Linked DNA regions of Sus scrofa. The protein of the gene in region 2 purifies or fractionates together with the protein of the main gene of each other region. This does not show direct contact. Links are inferred from orthologs where the notes say so. Each region holds a gene or a part of one and is shown on either strand. Other genes may lie near its edges.

Region 1 (3,727 bases), on a different chromosome or scaffold from region 2:
TTCTGCTTTTGTTTTCCTTTTCTTCCTCCCTCCGGTCCTGGAGGCAGCCTGACCCTTCCTTCCAATTGGTGATGGTTCTGCGCTTTCACCGCTGAACTGAAGGCCAGGGCTGGCTCAGGTTGCCTGAGAAAAAGGACTGAGCTCCCCCTTCCTCAAGGAGGTAAAGTGCCTGAGATGACACGTTTTATCTCTGATTCTCCCAGGCTCAGGCCACGGCATCGCCGCACACATCGCCCACGCATGGAGGTGGCCGCCCGCTGCCGATGCCTGTGCGCTCCGCCTCCGCTGGCTCCACCCCCACCCACTGCCCGCAGGACCCCCTGAGCGGCGTCGGCGGGGACATGCAGGAGGCCTTCGCCCAAGGTGAGCTCGGGGGCAGAGTGTGCTGGAGAGCTGGAGGGGTTGGAATCATGGACAGGATTCCTACTGAGGGCTTCCCGTCTCTTTCCTTTTGTGTGCTTAGCTCTCAGTGACTGCATTTTCACTATGGTAAAAAATAAGTCAGGCGCTGGCCCTTTCTCATCGCATGGGCGGCGCCCGTCGGGAGGGCTGCAGGCTGTGTGTGTGTGTGTGTGTGTGTGTGTGTGTGTGTGTGTGAGAGAGAGAGAGAGAGAGAGAGAGAGAGTGTGTGAAGTACAGGCTGCCTGGGCTTCTGTGCTCTTTTTGCCAAGTTGTGGGAAATGCCTTGTCTTTTTTGCCTCGCCTGGAGGAACTGGATGGAGGAATTCCCAAAGTCACGTGCTCGGCCTGGAAGGTTTCGAGCAAGCAGGAGGTGGAAGAGTGGAACTGCAGACAGGCCCTTGCTCAAGGCTTCTGGTCCGCGGAGCCAACAGCCAGCCGTGTCTGTAGCTGGGGGAAGACGAGGCCGCTCAGGAGGCCTTGTTGGGGTGGAGACGAGAGCAGGGAGGTGGTTCTGGGGAGGAAGTCCTGCCCCAGGGTTTGTTCTGGAATCCACCTCTTTTGACTGTGGCTGAGATGCGCGGAGCTGGCAGGGCCCTGCTCTTCGGCGGAGGAGAGCGAGGAGGGCCATGGGCCTGGGTGCCTGTGCACCTGCCGTGCCCGGGGGCCCGCTGAGCTGCTCCGCCCACCTCCCCTTACGCATTCCGTGTCCCAAGGCCCGGCCCTCAGCTCGCTCCCCCACCCACCACCTGGCACTGCCATCTGCTCTGACTCCCCCCAGGTACGAGGAGAAACCTCCGCAATGACCTGCTGGTGGCTGCCGACTCCATCACCAACACCATGTCATCCCTGGTGAAGGAGCTCCACTCAGGTGACGCCCAGAGCTCCCGCCCGGCCTCCCGCCGCCCCCTCCGTGCCCTCCTCACTGCCCCGGCCCACGGTCCTCTTGCCTTCCAGGAGCGCTGGAGGTCTTCTCCCCGAGAACCTGGCTCCCACCCGGGGTCACCCAGAGCTGATCACACACGTGGGTCTCTCCTAAGAGCGCGCCTTGCGGAGCAAACACATCTCAGCCTCCAAAGCAGCGCCGTCTGGGCGCAGTTAGGCCCGGCCTCGCTTAACCTGTCTTCCGTCTGTGCTTCCTCCACAGCTGCTCTTTCCTTAGGCCTGCTCGGCTGGCTCCCTCGGGCGCTCTCCTGGATGACTGGAACCGAATCAGCCACAAAAGCTTCTGGACTTTCTCCCGGCTGCCTTTCTGCTCTCTCCTATTTGATTTGGTTTTGAAACCCTATTCTCTCCTTTTGTCCATGGCGAGGCTCTGATTTCACTCCAAGTTCATGACCTGAGTCCCTTGCTTCCTTCATTCCTGGTGTTCAGTCTTATCTATGACTCTCTCTCTATCACTGAGCTGTTTCGGTGATTTTCCAGAGACCCTTACCTTGTGGCAAATTTCCCCATCCATAAAACCCAGGAAGGAGAGAAAAGGCTAGAAGAGAAGGCCATTCCCATATCATCGTATCTTTAAGAATCCCCATGATTCCATCAATTTCATAGCTGCCAGATATTTTACTAATGTTTTTTACAGCGGTCTGATTTCCGTGTCATATTTTAAATAAACAGGCTCCCTTCCTAAGTGCTGTGGGTCGCTCATACCGATGGCCCGCTTTTGTTGCTTTTCACCTAATGCGGAGCTTTTAAATACCTTGAACTGGCTCACCAAGATTATTAAATAAAGACATAGAGCAGGGTTTTTTCCGTGGGCCTTGCAGACACATATCCTTATTCAGACACATACGTTGTAATCATCCGTCCATGCGCTTAAGGAAGGCCAGCTTTGGGTGTTTCCTCAGACCTTTGTAAGAGAATCACGTGCCTTTAGTATTGTCATGGGCCCAGGCCAAGGTCTGACCCACAGCTTCACTCTTAAATCTGCTGTTTTGGTTTGGAGGAGAGTAAGTGTGTGGCCTAGGTTGGTTTTCCAGGGCAGTTAAGGTGCCAGTTCCCCTGTGCAGGGAGTGTTATGATAACACTGTCTCCGCTCCAGTACCATTTCTCAGTTCCCTTTAGAAGCACTGCCCCTACACACACACACACACACACACACACACACACACACAGAAACAGGAGCGGTGACCGCAAGGAGTGTTATGATAATGCTATCTCCCCTCCAGTACCATTTCTCAGTTCCCTTTAGAAGCACTGCCCCTCCACACACACACACACACACACACACACACACACACACACACACAGAGGCACACACGAGAGGTGACCGCCTTTGAGATGACCTCATAGGTGATTAGAAAGTCCCTTCCCTTAAATAGCTCCCCACAGACGCCAGAAATCCCACTTTTGGAGGGAATTTCTTAGGGAATTTCAGGCCTCGGAAATGAAGCACACGTGCCTCATGGCCACCTATTAGGGTTTGTGCAAAATAAGTGGTTCATGAGCTTGTCACACTGGTTCGCGAAGTAACTAGACATCCTTAAATGCGAAGTACGTAGAGCCCAAACAGCTTCGGAGAAAGTGAGTGTGAGGGTGCCCAGCCATCTCTCCGGTAGAAAGGACCGTTTTACGCATCCTGCTGTCCCCTCCCCTTGCTGTGGAAAGGTGGTGCTTGGCCTAAGGGTGTGCAGCTTGAAGGGGCAGAGCTGGTCCTGGAGCTGAGGTCTGAACGTGACGCTGAAGCACAGGATGAGGTGTCAGGTCTGCCGTCCCGCGAGGGCCCCTCTCGGATGCCCCGCTTCCCGAGCCCCAGAGTCCATAGGCGGCCGTGGACTAGGGCCGCAGCCAGTGTCCCTGTCAGACAGATGTGAACTCCTTTCATTCAGGTGCCAGGCGGCCAGGTTCTGAGCGAGGGCAAGAGCCTTGCCTGACACCAGCCCAGTGTCCCTGTCACTGTCGAGGCTGCTGTGAGGTGGGATGAGACACCCACACTGCCTGTGCATGCATTCTCTACAGCATGGACATGCTGTTTCTACCCACCCTCCTCATCTTTTTTGAATTTTTGTCACAAATAATGGGCTCTTAGATGTGCAAAGGACCTCCGAAGTCATTTCATCCAGCTTGCTGCCCAGTATAAAAGTCCTCTGTTTGAATATTTCCAGTGAGCTCATTCATGACCAGCTCCCATCCCTGGGAAGTTCTTTCTAATCCTGGAGACAGAACTCTGACTTGCCATGACGAAGTGACCCTCACTCCACCCCCCAGATCCCCAGAGTGAGTTCGGCCCGTCCTCTTCAGGTTGGCCCTTCAGGTAGCTGATGGATGTCACGTGGCTCCCCCGCAGGCCTCCTGCTCAGGCAGCTGTTTGGTCCCTTTGGCCCGTCTT
Region 2 (4,425 bases):
AAAGCTTCAGTCTTCTCCTTCAACAGTCGGCTTATTATTTAAAGGTTTGTTTGTTTTTTCTTCTAATTCTCTGATTTCAACCACTGTAGTTACCTGAGACCCTCTGTAACAAGACAGTAAGATACAGAGTAGCAGGCGATAAAGTAAGACTATTCATGCTGTGGAAGGAAGAGGATTAAGTGAGAGTCAAGAGATATCGCTGAATGGACACAAGGCTGCGAGCCTGCTCCAGGACATGGGGTTTTAATTCAGGTCCCTGACAGGTATTTTAATTTTCTGCTGAGACCATATGGCTCTTTTACTAAGAGAGAAAAGTAATAGCCAAAGAAAAGAATTATAGCACACTGATCTCCTAGTATACTAAAGCTGCTAAGAAAATACGGGCTGTTCCAATCCTTTCACTTTATTTATTGATTGATTGATTATTTTTTTTTTTTTTTTTTTTTTTTTTTAGGGCTGCACCTGCATTATATGGAAGTTCCCAGTCTAGGGGTTGAATGGGAGCTGTAGCCGCCTCCCTACACCACAGCCATAGCAACTCGGGATCCAAGCCGTGTCTGCAACCTACACCCACAGCTCACAGCAAGGCAGGATCCTTAACCCACTAAGCGAGGCCAGGGATCAAGCCCACATCCTCATGGATACTAGTCGGGCCCGTTAGCACTGAGCCACAACGGGAACTCCTCCTCTCACTTTAAATGTGGTCCAGAGTGAGGATGCCTACCAGTATCTACCACCTCATTCATACGGCGTTAGAAAGGAAAACATCCACAGGGCAAGATGTAATTCCAAAGGAAAGAAAACAATTAAAAAAAAAAATTCTAACCAGCCTAAAAGTTTTCCCTTAGTAACAATATTCAAGCATGACATATGAGATCAAATAATACTCATCACTTGAGATTTTTTTCTTCCTCTGAAAGCTTATATGACCAGTACATAAAAAGATAGATTAAACCAGATATGGACGTCTGACCCGATCAGAAAAACTACGTCACCCTGGAAATAAACTCCAGTGACAGAAAAGTACGTAACCACAGCCAATGTGAAGTTTTGCATCTGCGTTTCCTCTGAGCAAGGCTCTGTTCAAACAAATTCCCCTCCATTTACCGCCCCCCGCCCCAGTACAAATTCCCCCATTAAGAGCTCCGAACTACCTATTTTTAAAAGTAAAATCAAGTCCAATATGGGATGAGCACACCACCACACAACAGCACAAAGGAAACTTTCTAGGACAGTAAACAGTCAACACATCATAAGCTAGTCTGAAAGCACATGAAGCATATGTGTCACAACAGATAGATGGTTCCCTGACTGCTTTTTCCTAAGAAGCCAAGAACTGGAAAATGATCACATTCTCGAGAGAAGGATGAAGCTGACAGCCCGGGTCTCCACTTTTCTGGGTTTACAATGGCGTCAGGAAGGACAGGACGGGCTGCTCCCATCCCCGGCCAGCTCCTGCCTTCTGCAGCTCTGTTACCCAGACGCAGGGTTCAGGAGGTGACCGAGAGAACCCTGTCTTTGCTGACGTCCTCTGTGCAAAACCTCATGGACAGGAGGGCCGGGGGCCGGGCAAGGTGACAAACTTACCTGGTAAAGGCTTGCCTGCCTGGCGAGCACCAGGCCCTGGCAAATCAAATCTGCATTTCTTCCCACGGAAGGTGGTGACTGCCGGGCCGCTCATTACCTATATTGGCTTAAAGGAGGAGGAAAAGAGGCAGAGGAAGTGGATTTTAACAAAAGCAGCTTTCGAACTGCACACTGGGATGTCCTGTTTTGGGGTGGCTTTTATTTTTCCCATGAGAGGATCTGACTAAACCTAACTGAATCTCTTCTAAATACCAGACAGGAAGTTACACTTAGCAGTTAGTGAAAACTCCTTAGGGTCATTTTTGGCGGCTGCTGTTTTAATTGTCACAGCGAAGGGCCTTTGAATGTTTCTGATCTACTACAAAGAGATTTATAACTTTGCTTCCTGTTTTGACAGCGTCAGCTGGTAAGGGACGCCTCCACCCACCTCCTCACCACTAGGTGTATAAATAGAGGCGCTTGCCGTAGGTATAGGACTGGGCCAAGAGTCTAGTTACATATTAACTCTACTTCAAAGAATAAACTGGATCTGTTATTTCACCTTAATATGCATATAAGTCTTGGGAAAATGAAACTCAAAAGGATTTCTTAATTCCTTAGAAATTGCCAGTATGGAAAAAATAAACGCAACCACATAGAATAAGGTGATGAGAGGTGACAGTTTTGACTCATACTTTCCAGCCTATTCTCTCTTGTGTATTTGCCTTGCTCTTTTGCTATCTCTCATGTAGATGCCAACCACACACATACAACCAGCAAGGAAAATCATTACCCATATTACCTCCCATCTGCTTTCTTATTCCTGTTCTAAAGCTTTTTCTCCCCTGTTCTCACATTGAAACTTTCCACTTACAAGCCAAGATTTTCATAAAATATGTACCCTTGTTAGGATACACACAGACTTAAATCAGAAGGCATCTCTCTTCCTGCTACTGACTGAGATACAGAAAAGAGAACTAGTCATTTCTTGTCTCACCCTAGTCTCCTCCTTATCTCTGTATTTCTCTAGACTAGCAGCCATCTGACAGGCAAAATACTCTCTCTAAGCCTCAATCTCCAAACCTGTAAAATGGGAATAGTGACCTCGCCTGTCTCCTGGGATGTTGTAAGGACAGTGAGGTGAAAAGCACGATGATACACATTATGTCACAAAGTCAAAGCCTGATTTTTTTGTTTGGTTTTTTGGTAACAGCTTTATTGAGATATACTCAATATGCAATTAACACATTTAAAGTGTTGGAGTTCCCCTCATGGCTCAGTGGTTAACAAATCCAACTGGGAACCATGAGGTTTCGGGTTCGATCCCTGGCCTCGCTCAGTGGGTTAAGCATCTGGCGTTGCCGTGAGTTGTGGTGTAGGTTGCAGACCCGGCTCAGATCCCAAATTACTGTGGCTGTGGTGTAGGCCGGCAGCTACAGCTTGGTTTCGACCCCTAGCCTGGAAACCTCCATATGCCGGAGGAGCAGCCCTAGAAAAGGCAAAAAGACAAAAAATAAAATAAAAAATAAAGTGTATAACACAGTGGTTATTGGTGTATTTGTAGAGTGGTATATCCATCACCACAATCAATTTTGGAACATTTTCATCACCCCAAAATGCACTAGTCAACGATGGAAATCTAAGCAGTCTAGAGATCTGCCTCTCCTGAGCATTCTGCAGAAATAAAATCATTCAATCCATGGTCTTTTACAACTGACTTCCTTCACTTAGCATAATGTTTTCAAAGTTCATCCACGTTGTCATACGCGTCAGTACTTCATTTCTTTTTATGGCTGAATAATCTTCCATTATCTGAATACCCTACATTTTATTTATTCTCTTAGCAGTTGACGGAACTTGGGTTGCTTCTACCTTTCAGCTAATATGAATAATGTCGCTCTGAGCTTTCGTGTACAAGTTTTTATGTTGACATATGTCTTCATTTTTCTTGAGTATATACACCCAGGAGTAGCACTGCTAGGTCGTATAGTAACTCTACGGCCAATTTCTGGAAGAACTGCCAGACAGTTTTCCACAGTGTTGCACCATCGTACATTCCCACTAACAATGTATAAAGGTTCTAGTTCTCTACAGACTCACAACATGGACTGTGATCTGTTTTTTTGACTATAGCCACCCTAGTGAGGGTGAAGCAACAACTCATCATGGTCTGGTATCATTTCCCTGATGGTTATCCAAGTCCAATTTGTATCAGCATCCCAAAAATGTCTCCATTTTTATAGGCACGGCTAAATGCTCAAAACACACAACAACCAGTAAGACATGGGTACCACTTAATCAGAACAGATACCAGCTATAGTGCTGAAGCAAGATCTGAAAGGTGTTTAGCTTTACCAGCAGCAACGTTCCCATATGTATGAAAGACTTTCAACATTTAAAACTGGTATAAAGTAGTATGCCAGCTAAATACTGCTAGTCCTCATCTCCACCGAGAGGCTGCTAAAGCAGCTGTCTCTTCTTCCTCTTCCAAAGGGCTGCTTAAGAAAAGTTATAAGAAAATTAAATTCTCAATGAGCATGACCTTTTAATCTTTATATCAGTTATTTCCACCTATCTTGCTATATGTGTCTTCTTCCTAAATAGAAAGTCTCAATTAAAGCAGCCTTTTATTAGTGAATAAACATAATTATTTACAGGGACGAGATTTTTTTTTTGCCTTTTTAGGGCTGCACTCGCAGCATATGGAGGTTCCCAGGCTAGGGGTCGAATTGGAGCTACAGCTGCTACAGCCACAGCAATGCAGGATCCGAGCCCGTCTGCAACCTACACCATAGGTCACTGCAATGCCGGAATCTTAACCCACTGAGAGGGGCCAGGGATCGAACCTGCAACCTCATG
Region 3 (3,727 bases), on a different chromosome or scaffold from region 2:
TTGACAATTTTTTAAGGCCTCTCTCAAGTCCCATCTCCTTCAGGAAACCTTTCCTTGACTTTGGCCTTACTCAGTTTGGTGTTTAGTCACGTCCTACACCCTCTACCTTAAGTGGTTAGGGATTTCATGTGTTTTTTGTTTTTTGTGTTTTTTTTTTGCCATTTCTTGGGCCGCTCTCACGGCATATGGAGGTTTCCAGGCTAGGGGTCAAATCGGAGCCATAGCCGCCGGCCTACGCCAGAGCCACAGCAACCCGGGATCCGAGCTGCATCTGCAACCTACACCACAGCTCATGGCAACGTTGGATCCTTAGCCCACTGAGCAAGGGCAGAGATCGAACCCGAAACCTCATGGTTCCTAGTCGGATCCGTTAACCACTGAGCCATGACGGGAACTCCCCAGGGATATCATGTTTACACCTCTCATTTATGAGGTCTTGGGAGCAGGAACCATGCTTCTTATTTCTCTAGGACCACACACAGTCAGCTGTCAGCACACGGATTCACTTGATACCCACTGAATTGAACTGAATCAGATCATTTGTCAAGGAAAGGGATGGTAATTTCTTCCTCATCTCAATCAAGATGTTGACTTGAGTGAGCAAAACTCATTTCAGGAGGTTCCAAATAGGTTAGGTATCACATGTTCTCAAGAAGATTCTTTTTCCCTTGTTGAAGTCAGAAGAGTCCTTTGTCACTTGCTAGCTGAAGTAGGAACTTTATTAATGATGGCTTTCACTTGTCTTCAACAGGCTGCACGTTAAATGGTCAAGAGGTAAGACTCACTGTCCACTATGAAAGTGGGTTCACTATCTCCAGGGAAAATGGAGGTTCCAGCAGCATACTGTACCGCTACCCCTTTGAAAGGCTGAAAATGTCTGCTGATGATGGCATCAGAAATCTGTATCTGGATTTTGGTGGCCCTGAGGGAGAGCTGGTAAGAATATTTCTGAAAAAAAACCTGTTTATTCTAATAGGTATTCTCTTTCTTTTGTATTGCTTATTACCTCTTGTATAGAAAATTATGGACTTATAGACTGATACTCCATTTCAAGCCAGAAAATTATTTTTCAGTGTTCAGAGATGCATTGGGTTTGGTTGGGTTTCCTTTTTTTCCCCCACATTAGGAAATCATTCCCTTCTTTAGAAGTTTTGTTTGAGGAGTTCCTACTGTGGCTCACCAGGTTAAGAACCCTACTTGGACCCATGAGGATGTGGGTTTAATCCCTGGCCTCTCTCAGAGGTTTAAAAGATCCGGCGTTGCCATGAGCTGTGGTGTAGGTTGCAGACGAGACTTGGATCTGTGCATTGCTGTGGCTGTGGAGTAGGCCAGCAGCTGCAGCTCTGATTTGACCCCTAGCCTGGGAACTTACACATGCCACGAGTGCAGCCTTAAAAAAAAAAAGACAAAAATAGGAGTTCCCGTCATGGCACATCGGAAACAAATCTGACTAGGAACCATGAGGTTGCGGGTTCAATCCCTGGCCTCAATCAGTGGGTTAAGGCTCAGGCGTTGCCATGAGCTGTGGTGTGGGTTGCAGACGTGGCTCAGATCTGGCGTTGCTGGGACTGTGGTGTAGGCCGGCAGCTGTAGTTCTGATTAGACCCCTAGCTTGGGAACCTCCCATATGCCGCAAGTGCGGCCCTAAAAAGACCAAAAAAAAAAATCATATGCATAGATGGTCACACCTCAACTGAATTCACTGTGGTTCCACCTGGAAAACATACTTACCATCAATGGTTTGCATATAGGATATTGCTCTTTCCTTTACATCCTCTCCCTTTAAGTTCTTCCCATCTGGCACGGTGGAATCTAGCACACCACCAATAGTATCCCAGTTGTGGATGTGAAATCTCACACTAGTGTTTAATTAATTATGACATGGAATACCCTTACTTCAGAGTACACTTCCATTTTCAGCACTAAATTCCCAAGAGTTGCCGTAAATCTGGCACGTTCTTTATCCAAGTTCTTTTTAAAAAGTAGAACATCATGTCCAAATTTGTTTATTTTGCATGTTTATTTATTAAAGTATCTGTATATAGTGATAATTATTGTTCTTTCTCCACAGACCATGGACCTGCACTCCTGTCCAAAGCCGATTGTATTTGTGTTGCACACATTCTTGTCGGCCAAAGTCACTCGCATGGGACTGCTTGTATGAGCAGCAAAAAAAAATCAGTAAATAAAGAGCCTTGAATGTCACAAGAAGTATCTCCACCTCAAAAAAAAAAAAAAAAAAAAAAAAAAAAAAGCACAAAAAGAACACTCTTTCCTCTCTCCTCTGGCACAGTGCCTTGACAAGGACCTGCAAATCACTGCTGAACTGTAACCATGTTTAAAGAAGAGCCTGCCTTTTACAAGCTACCTTGGCCAGAAATCCTAGGATTGGAATAAGCTCCAAAATGAAGCTGTTGATTTATTGTCTAGTTCCTAATGTTGTTTCTAAGTAATTAGGTTTTTTTTCCCCTGTTAAGAAGGGTGGCTCATTCTTTTTCTTTTTGGACATAATCTAACATCTAAGAGTTTAGGGTTTTTTTCCTTCCTCTTCCAGAAGGAATTGTTTCAGGCTTAGCCTTGATCTCTTGCTTAGGACACCTCTCTCTTCCCAGGTGCTAGTCTGCAACAGCCTGTCACTCGAGTTAGGCTATACATTTTGATCAAGTCTACTGTCCTTACTTACTCCTTCCACCCTAGGAAGTCCTTGAATTTGTCACCAAAGGCTTCCTCATCCATCCTGGCTCTCCCTGCATCTCCCCCGGCCGTTACTTCTGACCACATCACAAGCTTTGCCCCTCATAAATGCTAACTGCAGGACTTAGAACTTGTGAGATTTGATTTGCTTTGCCTTCCACACTCCCTTTCTAGTGGTGACCAACTTGAAAAGCAAGCTGGGAACCACTGCTTTGAAAGAAAAATTTTGCTTGTTTTAGGATTTTCTGATTTTATCTTTGGTAGGAGCCAGGGGATAAGATTTATTTTAAAAGAAAATCCTCATTTTAGCCTAAGCCATTTTTTATTGCTTACCAAATGTGCCTTTAGTTAGGGTTAGTGGAGCTTTATTAGTCACTCTTTGGATAACTGGATATCACTGCCATTCCAGGGAGATCAGCTATCCTAGTTTTGAGAAGTAGTCTTTGAGGTGGGTTTCCTTAGTGTGGTATCTTTTCTAGTTGGCAGATGTCTTTAAGGAAGATAAATCCTGGAGAGCCAGCTTGTTTAAAGCGTACACTTTGTCGGTGAAGCCATCTCTTCAGCACAAACATCACGTTCACGTCTCTTTGGGCCATGTGAGCCCACTCTGGGGTCTTGGCCCTGGCCCTCTCACTCTGTGGCAGCAGAGTAGCATCTATCAGCAGCTGCTAATTCAGTGCTGGCTCAGTGATGCATCCTACAATGGGCAGGGTGACGAGACCAAGGAACAGGTCCCTGGGCTTTGCTAAGCATCGCCAGATGTCATCATTAGGACATATCAGCAGTAAGAGTGCTGATTGTGTTGTACTGGAGAATCACAGTCAGCTTCTTTTTCCTAATTATGAAGGAGGTATATATCTGAAAACATTTAAAATAATATATTAGCCATATAGAATGTCAAGGTTAACATAGTTCCCAGATCTGAAAGAAAAGGTAATATTAACTTGGATGTTCTGTATGCTCTCTGAAGAAAGGTCTGGGAATAGTCATCATTTACTAGATTTATCAGGAATGACATAAGAGGATGTGAGCT
Region 4 (3,531 bases), on a different chromosome or scaffold from region 2:
AGAGGTCCCAGCACTAAACTCTCCCTCGCTCTGTTTTTTGAGGAACCTGAATGAACCTGAAAGCAAAGACCGAGTGGAGACGCTCAGGTGAGAGAGGGCTGGAGCCAGCGCCGGCCCTGCCCGGGGCCACCCGGCTTGCCACGAGCCGCCTGCTCCTCTCGTCCTTCTGCCACCTGGCTCTTCCTCCTGTGCTTCTGCCTCCCCCGTCCTCTCGGGGGTCTCCCTTTCCTCAGAGAACCCCACCCCCACCCCCGCCCTGCTGCAGTAGGTGCGGGCCCTTCTCCTTAGATCTGGTGTGTCCTGGAAGCAGGAGCCCTGGGCCGGGGTTTGGAGGTACAGACTCCTTCCCTGTCGGCAAGCTCCCCTTCCCACGAATCAGCCACTTCTTGCTGTCCAGTCTGCGAACTGCTCAGGGCTTGGAGCATGTGCTCCCCTTTCTTCGCCGCCCCTCCCTCTACAAAGGAAAGCCTGGAGCTGTCACCTCGTCACCCCCGCCCCCCGGGGGGCTGCAGGACTGCGCACCCTCCTCACCCCTCCCTCCGCTCCCCGGGCCAGGTCTGAGGCGCCCTCTTCCAGCACCGCCGCCTCCTGGCACCCTCCCGCTCTTCTCTCCGTCTCAGGGTCCTTGTGCCAGGGGGGCTCTCCCATGGGTGGGGCGCCCCAGCTCCCGCCTGACGCCCGCCTCTGCCCTCTCCGCAGACCTCACGTGGTGGGCAGCGGCGGCAACGACAAAGACAAGGAGGAGTTTCGGGAGGCCAAGCCCCGCTCACTTCGCTTCACGTGGAGCATGAAGACCACGAGCTCCATGGAGCCCAACGAGATGATGCGGGAGATCCGCAAGGTGCTGGACGCAAACAGCTGCCAGAGCGAGCTGCACGAGAAGTACATGCTGCTGTGCATGCACGGCACGCCGGGCCACGAGAACTTCGTGCAGTGGGAGATGGAGGTGTGCAAACTGCCTCGGCTCTCTCTCAACGGTGTTCGATTTAAGCGGATATCGGGCACCTCCATGGCCTTCAAAAACATTGCCTCCAAAATAGCCAACGAGCTTAAGCTTTAACAGGCTGCCAGGAGTGGGGGGCGAAGGAGGCGGCCAGCTGGACTTAGCTGCTGGGGCCGGCGCTCCGCCCGCCCGGGCCGGACTGCAGAGATGGATTGGTGTGTCTCCCCTGCTGGCACTTCTCCCCTCCCCGCCCGTCTCAGTTTTTTCTTCCATGTTTGTGGGGGCCGGGAGATGGTTCTCGCCCCCACCACGGTTACCCTGCCCAGATCGTCCCCCTCCCCCCCTCTCTCCCGCAGGAGGCGAAGGAAGGGGAGGGAGGGGTGGGGGGCGGGGCTCCCCCTCGGTACTGCGGTTGCACAGAGTATTTCGCCTAAACCAAGAAATTTTTTATTACCAAAAAGAAAAAAGAAAAAAAAAAAAAATCCCAGCGGCCACCTTTCCTCCCTGCCCCATTGGGACAGTCGAGACTGGATCTGCGGGGTTTCCCGGGAGGGTGGCTCAGGGCTGGAACACTCTCAGGCAAGAGTGGTGGAGTTCCCTGTTAGGCCCTCCGCCAGGCCCACTTTGGGCTTCTCCCCTCTCCTCTCCTCCTTCCCCTCCAAGTAAACCACCAGAGGTGGCCTTGCCCTGACCTCAGGCCCCTGGGCTGGAGGCCTGGGCGGCGGGGGGCTGGGGGTGGGGGTGCCGCGCAGCCCTGAAGCCGTGGGGCTGGCGGCTGCTCTGGGGCTGGCAGGCTGGGCGCGGGGCTCCGGCCTCCCTCCACACTGTATCCTCTGCCCCTCCTTCCCCAGAGCTGGGCATTTCCTTCCACAAGCTGCTGTGGGGACTTTTGTTCCCCTCCTCAAAAAGTCTGTGCCATCTTCTCCCACCCCCTCCTGGGTAGAAGGCGGGGCTGACCCCAGGGCTGGGAGAGGGGAGGGGACTGCAGGGCAGATGGGCTCCTCGGCCCCCAGGGGGCCGCCTGGGCTGCTAGTCTCCGGAACAGGGACGCTGGGCATTCTCCGTTCTGGGAGAGCCTTTGTCTGAAAGCACAGCCCCCCACGCCGTTCCTCTCCCCACTGCTCCCCTTCGTTGGCATTAATCTGGGCACCAGCTAGTTCCATAGCAGTGACTTCCCTCACCACTCATCTCTTGGCCTTGCCTTTTCTTCCTCACACTGTCACCCCTCCTCTCAGGAGACACTGCCCCGGGGCCTCCGCGGGAGGCTGGATAGGGCAGCAGGGCCGGGGAGCCTCTGCTCTCGGCGGCGGGGTGGGGGACCGATAGGCCAAGTGACTCCCAGCTCGCTAACCTCCGCAGCCAGCGTGGGAGTGGCTGGTTATGGGCGCTTGGCTGGTGGCAGCCGCTGCATCCCTTAATTTATTTCTCTGCTGTCTCTGTTCTTGAGAAATTGGGGGAGAGGTCCTGAACAGAGGCTGCCTCTACCCTCACCTGAGTTGTACATTTTTTTGTGATGGGTTTTATTTTTTATTTTATTATTTTATTTTTTTTTTCTTTTTTTGATTTATGATGACTCCACCCCTACTCATCACCCCCACTCCCAGGCCTGGCTCCCCGGCAAGTTGAGCCCTTGGGTCCCAGGAAGGGGCCCCGCCAACCTCAGCCCTCCTGCCCCAAGCCCTAAGACTGTGGGCTCGACTGTGGGCTCCGGCTCCTACCAAGGGCTCTCCCTCCCTCCCTCCCTCTCTCCCTCCCCTGCCCTATGGAACAGCCCGGGTGCTCCGAGGGGCCGGGAGGGCAAGGCTTGGCTCCCAAAGGGGGTGGTGGCTGGGGGGGGGCTCCCAGGCAAGGTGGCCCCTCCCCACCCAGCCCCCCTTCCTGCACTTAGTTTTTCCTCTGGATCAAACACGTAATAAAGAGAATGTTTGGAATCTGAGCTGCCTCCTGTCTCTTCTCCCAGCTGGGCAGGGACCCAGTGTCCATGGGCAGCCCAGCCCGCCTGCCTTGATTCCTGTCTGGGGCCTGGGGAAAGGCCAGTGCTGGGCGGGCGCCCTCCCCACTCCCATCCTCATGGCACAGACAGGAAGCGACGTCCAGGACACTTAAACTAAAAGAGAAAGGATTCAGTGAGCTTGAAGGTTTTATTTATTTTTTAAAAACATTGAAAAATAAACCCATGTCTGCATATGTTCCCAACCCTTTCTCTAAGCTTTTGGGCAGTGGGCACCCTCAGAGCTCCTCAGCACTTCCCACCTGACCCTGAAGACACAAGAGCCCCTTCTCCAGCCTCCGCTGCCGTCAGGCCCCAAAGAGCCTCTCTGCCCACCTCCCTCCTTCAACACCCTCCCACCTCACCCCAAACTTATTGCTAAAAGAAGGGAAAGAGGAGGAACAGCCAAGACACCTAACTGTCCTCTCCCCGGCTCCCCAAGCTATGGTCACTACCCCCTATACTCGAAGGGCAGGACCCAAAGGCCAAGCCCTGGCAGGCGAGGAGGCAGCCGTTCCAGACCCAGCCAGGAAGAGAAAGTAGCCTCGGGCCAGCTCAGAAGACCCCAGACCCTGGCTGGGAGCGGGTGGACACAGGC
Region 5 (3,727 bases), on a different chromosome or scaffold from region 2:
CAAAATTCTATAAAATTCTGTGGATCCCTTTTAAAGGTAAGAAAAACGACTGGCTGGAAATTGTTCTCAGAAGGTGAGTTCAAATCACCTGTCAGCTGCCGGGCACCGACTTCATCGTGACAGCCTGCGATACCCGCAGGAAGAAATGTGGTACCACACTGGGGCTAGTGGTGTTGCAAGATCTTAAACGGGGGTGCTGAAACTTTGAGATTAAAGGCCCCTTTGCTCTTTTCAGCGTGGCCCTGACCCCTTCCTTCAGAGAGCGGGGACTGAGAGGAGGAGGTCTTGTGCAAGGCTAGTAGCTGAGGTGAAATGACTAGATCTTTAAAATTGCGATTGATCTCTGTATTTCATATAGCCCCCATCTCTGTTAGCAAATGTGAGCCAATAATTATTTGTTGACTAAGCCAGTGACTAGGAAGGACCTAAACAGAGACTAGTTGTTCCGAATCAAGTCCTCTTTGAAGTTCAACATTCCACGGCTTATATGAGATGCTGTGTCTTCCTGAGAATGACACTTGCCAGGAAATAGAATGTGCAGCTTCACTTTTCAGTGGAACTGAAATAACATAGTTTTGTTTTCTCGGCTGTGCCCATGGCACACCGAAGTTCCCCGACCAGGGATCGAACCCTTGCCAGAGCAGTTACCCAGGCCACAGTGACAGCACTGGATCCCCAACCTGCTGTGCCACAAGGGAACTCCTTCATTAGCGTTGGCAGTCACGATCACAGGAAATCATGATTATAAATACATGGGCAATTTGCATTGCTATGAGAAGTATAAATGTTACCTTAACTGAGCAACTGGCTGATTTTGTTGGACACATTTTGACATGCTCTCAAAACTCCTGGGCCCCTGTCTGGCCCTCTCTCCATTCCCCTAGGAGGGACCATTTTTGCTTGGTTTCCTCACTGCCCCTTTTGCTCTGCTCCTGGTCCAGCCCCAACCCCACTCCACCTCCACCCCGCCCTCTTCAAGGTCTCTGATCCTCTGAGAACTCCCAGCTGGCCAGGGCTTTGAGACCCTGCACTTTATACCCCTGCATGTCTGACACCTAGCACAATGCCCAGGTTAAAGTAGATGCTTGAGACCTTTAAACAGTTAAAGGTACCTTTTGAGGCTGGTGGGACTCTCTTTGAGAAGAACTTAAGGCTTTGTAAAGGATCCTTATCTTTGATTCACATATTTCTGTAGTATTCTGATGAAAAATGAGACCAAGGTACAGATCTGAAAAAATTAGATCTGATCACTGTTTTTCAAGGATTGAATATGACATGAACCTGTCTGAGTACTTTGTTAACAGTCAAATGCTAAATAAATATAAGCATTATGTTTGCAAGCAACGTGTGGTGCATGATGAAATACATGAAATCAAACTAAGGAAAAGTACACTTACGAGCTCTCCATCTTTGCCTCCAAAATCTAAATACAGCATCCTGATTCCATCATCTGAAGACATTTTCAGCTTTTCATAAGGAGCCTGTATGATTGTCTTGGGAAAGGCACCCTCCTGTGGTTCAGTGGTAACAGAAAATCCATTCTCATAATGGATGGTCAAACGGCACTCCTGGTTTTTGTAGGTACAAGCTGATAGAGACAGAGAAGGGACAAAATGTGAACAATGGAAGCCTGTCATTTCCCCAGGCACTTGACCTTCAAGTCTCCTCACTCTCAGGGCCCAGTCACAAACTTCTTTCTCAAGTTAAAAATTAATAATCAGGAGTTCCTGTTGTGGCTCAGTGGAAACAAATCTGACTAGTATCCATGAGGATGCGGGTTCTTCTCTCAGTGGGTCGGGGATCCAGCATTGCCGTGAGCTGTGGTATAGGTCGCAGATGCAGCTTGGATCTGGCGTTGCTGTGGCTGTGGCATAGACCAGCAGCTGCAGCTCCAACTGGACCCCTAACCTGGGAACTTCCATATGCCACGGGTGTGGCCATAAAAAAAACAAACAAAAAAAAACCCTTTAATCAAAAGAGTTCTGGAAAAGGTGATTAAGCATCAGGTTGGATTTTTTTGCCTCAGAAAACACCGCATTTAACAACCCCTGGCTAGTAAACTGCCTCTGGTCTTCATATGCCGCTGGAAACTCTTCAGGGAAACGAGGACATTTTCCTTGCTGGCTATGGGGCTCCAGAGGAGTGAAGGTAGTTGACTACTCTTTAAAGCTCAGCTCAGCTTTATACACCACACTGAATTTCACTTTACGACTCTTTGGAAGCAGGACCTTAGATTAATATAATAGGTTAAAAAAAAAAAAAAAAAAAGGAGTTCCTATCGTGGCCCAGCAGTTAACAAACCAGACTAGTATTCATGAAGATGGGGGTTCGGTCCCTGGCCTCGCTCAGTGGGTTAAGGATCCCGTGTTGCTGTGAGCTGTGGTTTAGGTCACAGACATGGCTCTGACCCCAAGTTGCTGTGGCTGTGGTGTAGACCAGCAGGTGTAGCTCTGATTTGACCCTAGCCTGGCAACTTCTGTATGCTGCATCTGTGGCCTATAAAGAAAAAAACAAAAAACAAAGCTCAGAGAGGTGAACATGTCATAACCCAGTGGTTTAGATTTCAAGAGTCAAGTTCTTTCCTCCACTCTGTCTCCTGCATCCTTCTCATACTCTGGTGCTCAGGCTAAGGAGGAAGGTGAAGAAGGACCTTGGCAGAGAGGCTCTCAGTAATAACTAGGGTGGGAGAGCCCTTCCGTCTGGGGGAAGAAATAGGGTGTCTCTCTGCTCACAGAATGAAGTGGGTAACTGGATACCCCTTCCTGCGACTTCTGCAGTCATCTTTTAACTTGTAAACTAAGGTTTGATATTTTGCAGAGGTGCATTCCCTAATAGGTCTATGAGCCCTTCTGGGCACAGCCCCATTGGCAACTCTTAAATAAGCCTCTCAGAAGAGCCCTGAATCTCCTCCACCCAGTCCAAGGACAACCAAAAGGTAACATAGCCTCGGCACTAATGTAGTTAATGGCTTCCCACCATGAATCCTCGATTTTGACACTTTTCATTTGTAACATCTGCAGAGTATGTGTGCACATGGGCTCTAAACATGTTTTCTTTACTCCCTTCCTCTGTGTTTGAACTTTAGAGCCAGGCCATCAGGCGGTCTGAATTAAATGATTGTGATGACTTTTCCTTCTAGTTGACCTCAAGTGGTATTTGTTGTGGCCTTTATATAATGGAATTGGTTATCTGAAGATATTCTTAATCTACACAGGAAAAATTGAAGACATTATCAAGTTAATTGAAGCGCTGATTAAAACATAAGCTTGTTTGCCCAACTCTCTGCGGGCATCTTTCCGTTTGAAACTGGGTTGCACCTTTGGTCATTTCCATAATTTCTTCACTCCCACCACCCAGCTAGCTCAGTCCACACAAACTCTTTGTTATTCTCCTCTGGCTGCTCTATCAACGGCCTCATTGTTTTCCTGATAAGTAGAGTTCAGCTTGTTGAGAAAAGGATTTTATGAAATTTGTGGAATGTAAACTAAGCCAAACCCCTTTGGTCATCTTCATTCTTTTCTAGAACACTCCTGAAGTTGTTGCAAGGAGTCTGGATTTCTCTGCTGTTTTGCACAGGACTTCATTAAATTTAGTTTTCAGGTGACTTGAGCCTTTTCTAACTCTCAGGTTCAAAACTCGTTTTTCTTGACATACAGAATAGGCATCAAAGAGAAGAGCTTCAGGGGCACTCCAAAAGATGTTTTCAACAGTGTTGGAAAATATTGGG
Region 6 (3,727 bases), on a different chromosome or scaffold from region 2:
TACGATTGGTAGTGATTATAGAGAAACTAGTAAGTTCATTCTTTAAATTGTCTTCATGAGCAGAACAGGATACATTTTTAACTTTAAGAGAGATAATAAGAAGAGATGCTAACTGTTCTAAATGGGTATTTAAAATTAGTTAACTTTAGGAGTTCCCTTGTGGCAAAGTGGGTTAAGAATGTGGCATTGTCACTGCAGCTGCTTGGGTTGCTACTGTGGTGAAGGTTTGATCCCTGGCCTGGGAACTTTCCTATGCTATGGGCATGGCCAATAAATAAAAATAAGCTAGGGAGTTCCTTTCGTGGCCCAGTGGTTAACTAACCAGACTAGGATCCATGAGAATGTGGGTTCCATCCCTGGCCTCTCTCAGTGGGTTAAGGATGCGGCATTACTGTGAGCTGTAGTGCAGAAGTCACAGATGTGGTTTGGATCTTGTGTTGCTGTGGCTGTGGTGTAGGCTGGCAGCTGCAGCTCCAATTTGACCCCTAGCCTGGGAACTTCTATATGCAACACCTATGGCCCTAAAAAAAAAAAAAAAAAAAAAAAAAAAAAAAAGCTAACTTTAATCCCATTGCATATTAAAGAAGTGTTCAGAAGTTAGGATTCCAGTAAGAGGAGATAAATTATTTTATTTTTAATGCTAGAGAATTCCCAGAGTTAAATTAAACAATAAATAAGAACATCTAAAGATCAGATGGAGGCACTGAATTGTTTTATGTTTAAATTTCTTTAAGTCTTGTTCTGAACTGTATTTCATATTGAAGTTTGGATATGCAAAAACGAATTACTTTTATTATATAAATACTTGCTTTTATTTTAAAAAGCACATTACTCATTTCTTTTATGTAACTACTACTGTTGAAAGCTTACAATTTGTAGCATAAGACTAAAGATTAGCAAAGTGCTATCATACAGTTTTGTTTTGTTTTGTTTTTCCTATCTCCTCTACCTGGTCGAGTGCCAGGAATACCAACAGTGAAGAAAGAGTCAATGCCAGGTATACCAACAGTGGAAGGTCACACCTAAAAAAATACTAGAAAATGTTATATTTCTTATTAAGATTCTTCTTCTGTTACAGCAAATATTTAAGCTATACCTGACTTGTGAGAGACAGACTGTGTGTGAGATTTAATAAGTTTTTAAAACAGTCCTAATTTTGCAATGCATCCATAAGGTCTTACTGATCAAAGAGAGAGGTTAGTTCTATAAAGACTCAGAACTATTCCCCAAAACAATGACCTTGGCTTTATAGCTAAAGACTTGATGGCCTAATTTCACTAATTAAAAAAATTGCCTTGGCCCAATAGTAACTACTCACCGTTTTCTACATTTGCCAGTCGATGCAGAAGGGGCAGCCAGACCAGACACTGTGGGGGAGGATCTGACATGAGCGTGTCCAAGAAACCATTTAAGGTGACTTTTTTCTGCATCAAAAAACCCATAAAAATTGAGAACAGAGAATAATCTTAATATACCTGCTATGTAAATATCATTTGAGATAGAAGAAACGAGACATTCAATTAACCCTCATACATCAAGAAACAGAGCTTGAAACTAGTTCCGAATTTAAAAGATTAATTGCTTTCTGTATTTAAGCATACATAGGACTGAATTATCTCCACTGAGCCCGAGTCAATATTATCACAAGGAGAAAAACCATTATGAGAGGATCATTTCCATACATGAAAATGATGAGGAAAGATGGAGAGTAGACGTTCTCTAAAACATTTTACCCAAATAGTGCATCATATAGCACATTCCACAATTCCCATATCAGTTGCTATTCTAAATTTGTGGAATAGCTTCCCTTTCAGACTTCCCCAACTTCCATAAGGACTATTTTGTGGTTAATGTGAATAGTTCTGCTGTACAAGATTAGGAGGGAATCCTGTTCAGAGGGAACCATCTTCCGTGTCAGAAAAGAATAGTCTAAATTAAAAAAAAATTTCCTTCTCTCCTTTCTTTATATTTCTTTTCTCACAATTCAGTCTGCTTCTGTGTCATTATCCTGGTGCTTTCTGATGTATAAAAGAAATGCAATTTATCTGTTTCTTTCGAAATGACAAAATTAAGAAGTTACAGTAATACTTCTTAAAATGATATTGTAACAGTATGACTAACAAAATCTTACATGCAAAAGCCACTATTTTATTTAAAATTTTGAATTAGAAGATCAAGGTGGATGGCATGGTTTTATATTTTTAGATGAGAAATCAGTATTGAAGTGTATTAAGCCTTTTAAAGGCTTAAACTTTACACTAATTATTCTACTTTGCAAATAATTTTATTAATTTTTTTTATCAGAAGATATTACAATTTTAGCTTTATCTCATAATACTAAATAACTTAAGCTTTTTATTGGGTTGTTATTAACATGATTATTAAGAGATAAATTATGTAAAGTATAAGCAACGAGACAGTATTTTTTTAAAAAGCTACTACATCATGTCTAAAATACTGCTGTCTTTCAAAACAATCACTTGGGATGGCTTTCTATGAAGCAATTAAAACAATTTTGGAATTTCCTCATTCAAACTGCTGTTACAGCCAGTATATGAAGCACAAAAACAAAAGCATCTTAATTTCTTGTATTTCCTCTTTTTGTACTTCACATGATTTTATCCATTTGACCATTCATCACACTAGCTAAAAATCACTCCTGGAAGTCAAAAGTGCTACTGTGATTTTCAACATATATAAAGTTCTCATCATCAAGAATATACAAAAGATTATTTAACATATAATTGCATTATATAATTATATAATACCTATAGGATATTTCAAAAGGAATTTTGAGCAAGAGCACTATCTTTATAATTCTGTTTGAATCTATAGATCCCATTAAAAAAGGAATTATTATTTTAAGTCTTATTAAAAAAGTCTTATTATTCCAGCTGACTTGTAATGAGAAATATTCTGGGGCATTAGTATCTTTCCTGAGGATTCCATGATGCACTACCTAAAATCAGTAAATGTACAAACAATTCCAGGGACAGAGTGGTCAGTTTGGGATTTAATGCAACAGGCCAGATGAGAGATGGTGATGAGGAAAGAAATCTGAGAACCTTCTAGAAAGGGAAATCAGTAGGACTTGGTGTTTGATGAAAAGTTCTGGGTGAAGAAGTTGTATAGAAGGAGGCTTAGGTGAATGATCCATTCTGATGTCACCAACTCAAAAGAGGGCATGCTTTAGTGGGGGCAGAGATCACACACCTATGCCAGGCTGGGGATGGGGGCATGGGAAGGGTCGGAGAGACTACCTGGGTGAGATTTCCCCTGGGGAAGGAGAGTTTGATACTTAGTGGATCAAACCATTCCATCTATTATTGAATGTGTGGATACATTATAAATGAACCCATGACCCACAGAGATGCCTGAGGCAGTTTTGACCTCTTATATCACCAAGTAAATGGGTAGATGAGGTTTATTAGCTGGACAGTAAATGCAGCTTTTCAGTGGATGCTATGCACTGATTCTAATTTAAGGTGTCCTTTTAGAGGACATAGTTTGGATATTTAAAAAATTGTAAACAAACCTTCAATTTATGGGTTTATAAATCTCCACTTTGCTGTGTTAGAGAATAGTTCTAGATATGTAGATTTTCCACATGACTGGAGAGGTAGAAACATGGATATAAACTGGCTATAAACTGGACACAAACTGGAGAGCCACCCAAACTAAGTGGCTTCCCTCGCTGACTTGTATCAACCCAAGTTAAAACATGTAG

What was found.
Region 1: the proteins of UTRN (region 2) and DTNB purify together in Homo sapiens (affinity purification with mass spectrometry; 3 studies listed by BioGRID and IntAct, with this or other methods). This does not show direct contact. The link is inferred for Sus scrofa from reciprocal best matches to the Homo sapiens genes UTRN and DTNB.
Region 3: the proteins of UTRN (region 2) and SNTB2 purify together in Homo sapiens (affinity purification with mass spectrometry; 4 studies listed by BioGRID and IntAct, with this or other methods). This does not show direct contact. The link is inferred for Sus scrofa from reciprocal best matches to the Homo sapiens genes UTRN and SNTB2.
Region 4: the proteins of UTRN (region 2) and MARK2 purify together in Homo sapiens (affinity purification with mass spectrometry; 4 studies listed by BioGRID and IntAct, with this or other methods). This does not show direct contact. The link is inferred for Sus scrofa from reciprocal best matches to the Homo sapiens genes UTRN and MARK2.
Region 5: the proteins of UTRN (region 2) and SNTB1 purify together in Homo sapiens (affinity purification with mass spectrometry; 3 studies listed by BioGRID and IntAct, with this or other methods). This does not show direct contact. The link is inferred for Sus scrofa from reciprocal best matches to the Homo sapiens genes UTRN and SNTB1.
Region 6: the proteins of UTRN (region 2) and DTNA purify together in Homo sapiens (affinity purification with mass spectrometry; 3 studies listed by BioGRID and IntAct, with this or other methods). This does not show direct contact. The link is inferred for Sus scrofa from reciprocal best matches to the Homo sapiens genes UTRN and DTNA.

What each region holds. Positions count from the first base shown.
Region 1 is NC_010445.4:113,466,456-113,470,182, forward strand, and holds part of DTNB (dystrobrevin beta), read left to right. Parts: intron 1-203; coding exon 204-363; exon of another isoform or gene 364-1,180; coding exon 1,181-1,270; exon of another isoform or gene 1,271-1,546; coding exon of another isoform or gene 1,547-1,680; exon of another isoform or gene 1,681-3,503; coding exon 3,504-3,615; exon of another isoform or gene 3,616-3,727.
Region 2 is NC_010443.5:20,984,658-20,989,082, forward strand, and holds the start of UTRN (utrophin), read right to left. Parts: upstream 2,858-4,425; 5' UTR 1,682-2,857; coding exon 1,588-1,681; intron 1-1,587.
Region 3 is NC_010448.4:17,680,333-17,684,059, reverse strand, and holds part of SNTB2 (beta-2-syntrophin), read left to right. Parts: exon of another isoform or gene 1-212; intron 213-751; coding exon 752-936; intron 937-2,071; coding exon 2,072-2,164; 3' UTR 2,165-3,727. UniProt on the Homo sapiens protein: Adapter protein that binds to and probably organizes the subcellular localization of a variety of membrane proteins. May link various receptors to the actin cytoskeleton and the dystrophin glycoprotein complex.
Region 4 is NC_010444.4:8,153,215-8,156,745, reverse strand, and holds the end of MARK2 (serine/threonine-protein kinase MARK2), read left to right. Parts: intron 1-42; coding exon 43-87; intron 88-699; coding exon 700-1,060; 3' UTR 1,061-2,876; downstream 2,877-3,531. UniProt on the Homo sapiens protein: Serine/threonine-protein kinase. Involved in cell polarity and microtubule dynamics regulation. Phosphorylates CRTC2/TORC2, DCX, HDAC7, KIF13B, MAP2, MAP4 and RAB11FIP2. Phosphorylates the microtubule-associated protein MAPT/TAU.
Region 5 is NC_010446.5:18,515,617-18,519,343, reverse strand, and holds part of SNTB1 (beta-1-syntrophin), read right to left. Parts: intron 1,589-3,727; coding exon 1,398-1,588; intron 1-1,397. UniProt on the Homo sapiens protein: Adapter protein that binds to and probably organizes the subcellular localization of a variety of membrane proteins. May link various receptors to the actin cytoskeleton and the dystrophin glycoprotein complex.
Region 6 is NC_010448.4:118,672,014-118,675,740, reverse strand, and holds part of DTNA (dystrobrevin alpha), read right to left. Parts: intron 1,425-3,727; coding exon 1,319-1,424; intron 1-1,318. UniProt on the Homo sapiens protein: May be involved in the formation and stability of synapses as well as being involved in the clustering of nicotinic acetylcholine receptors.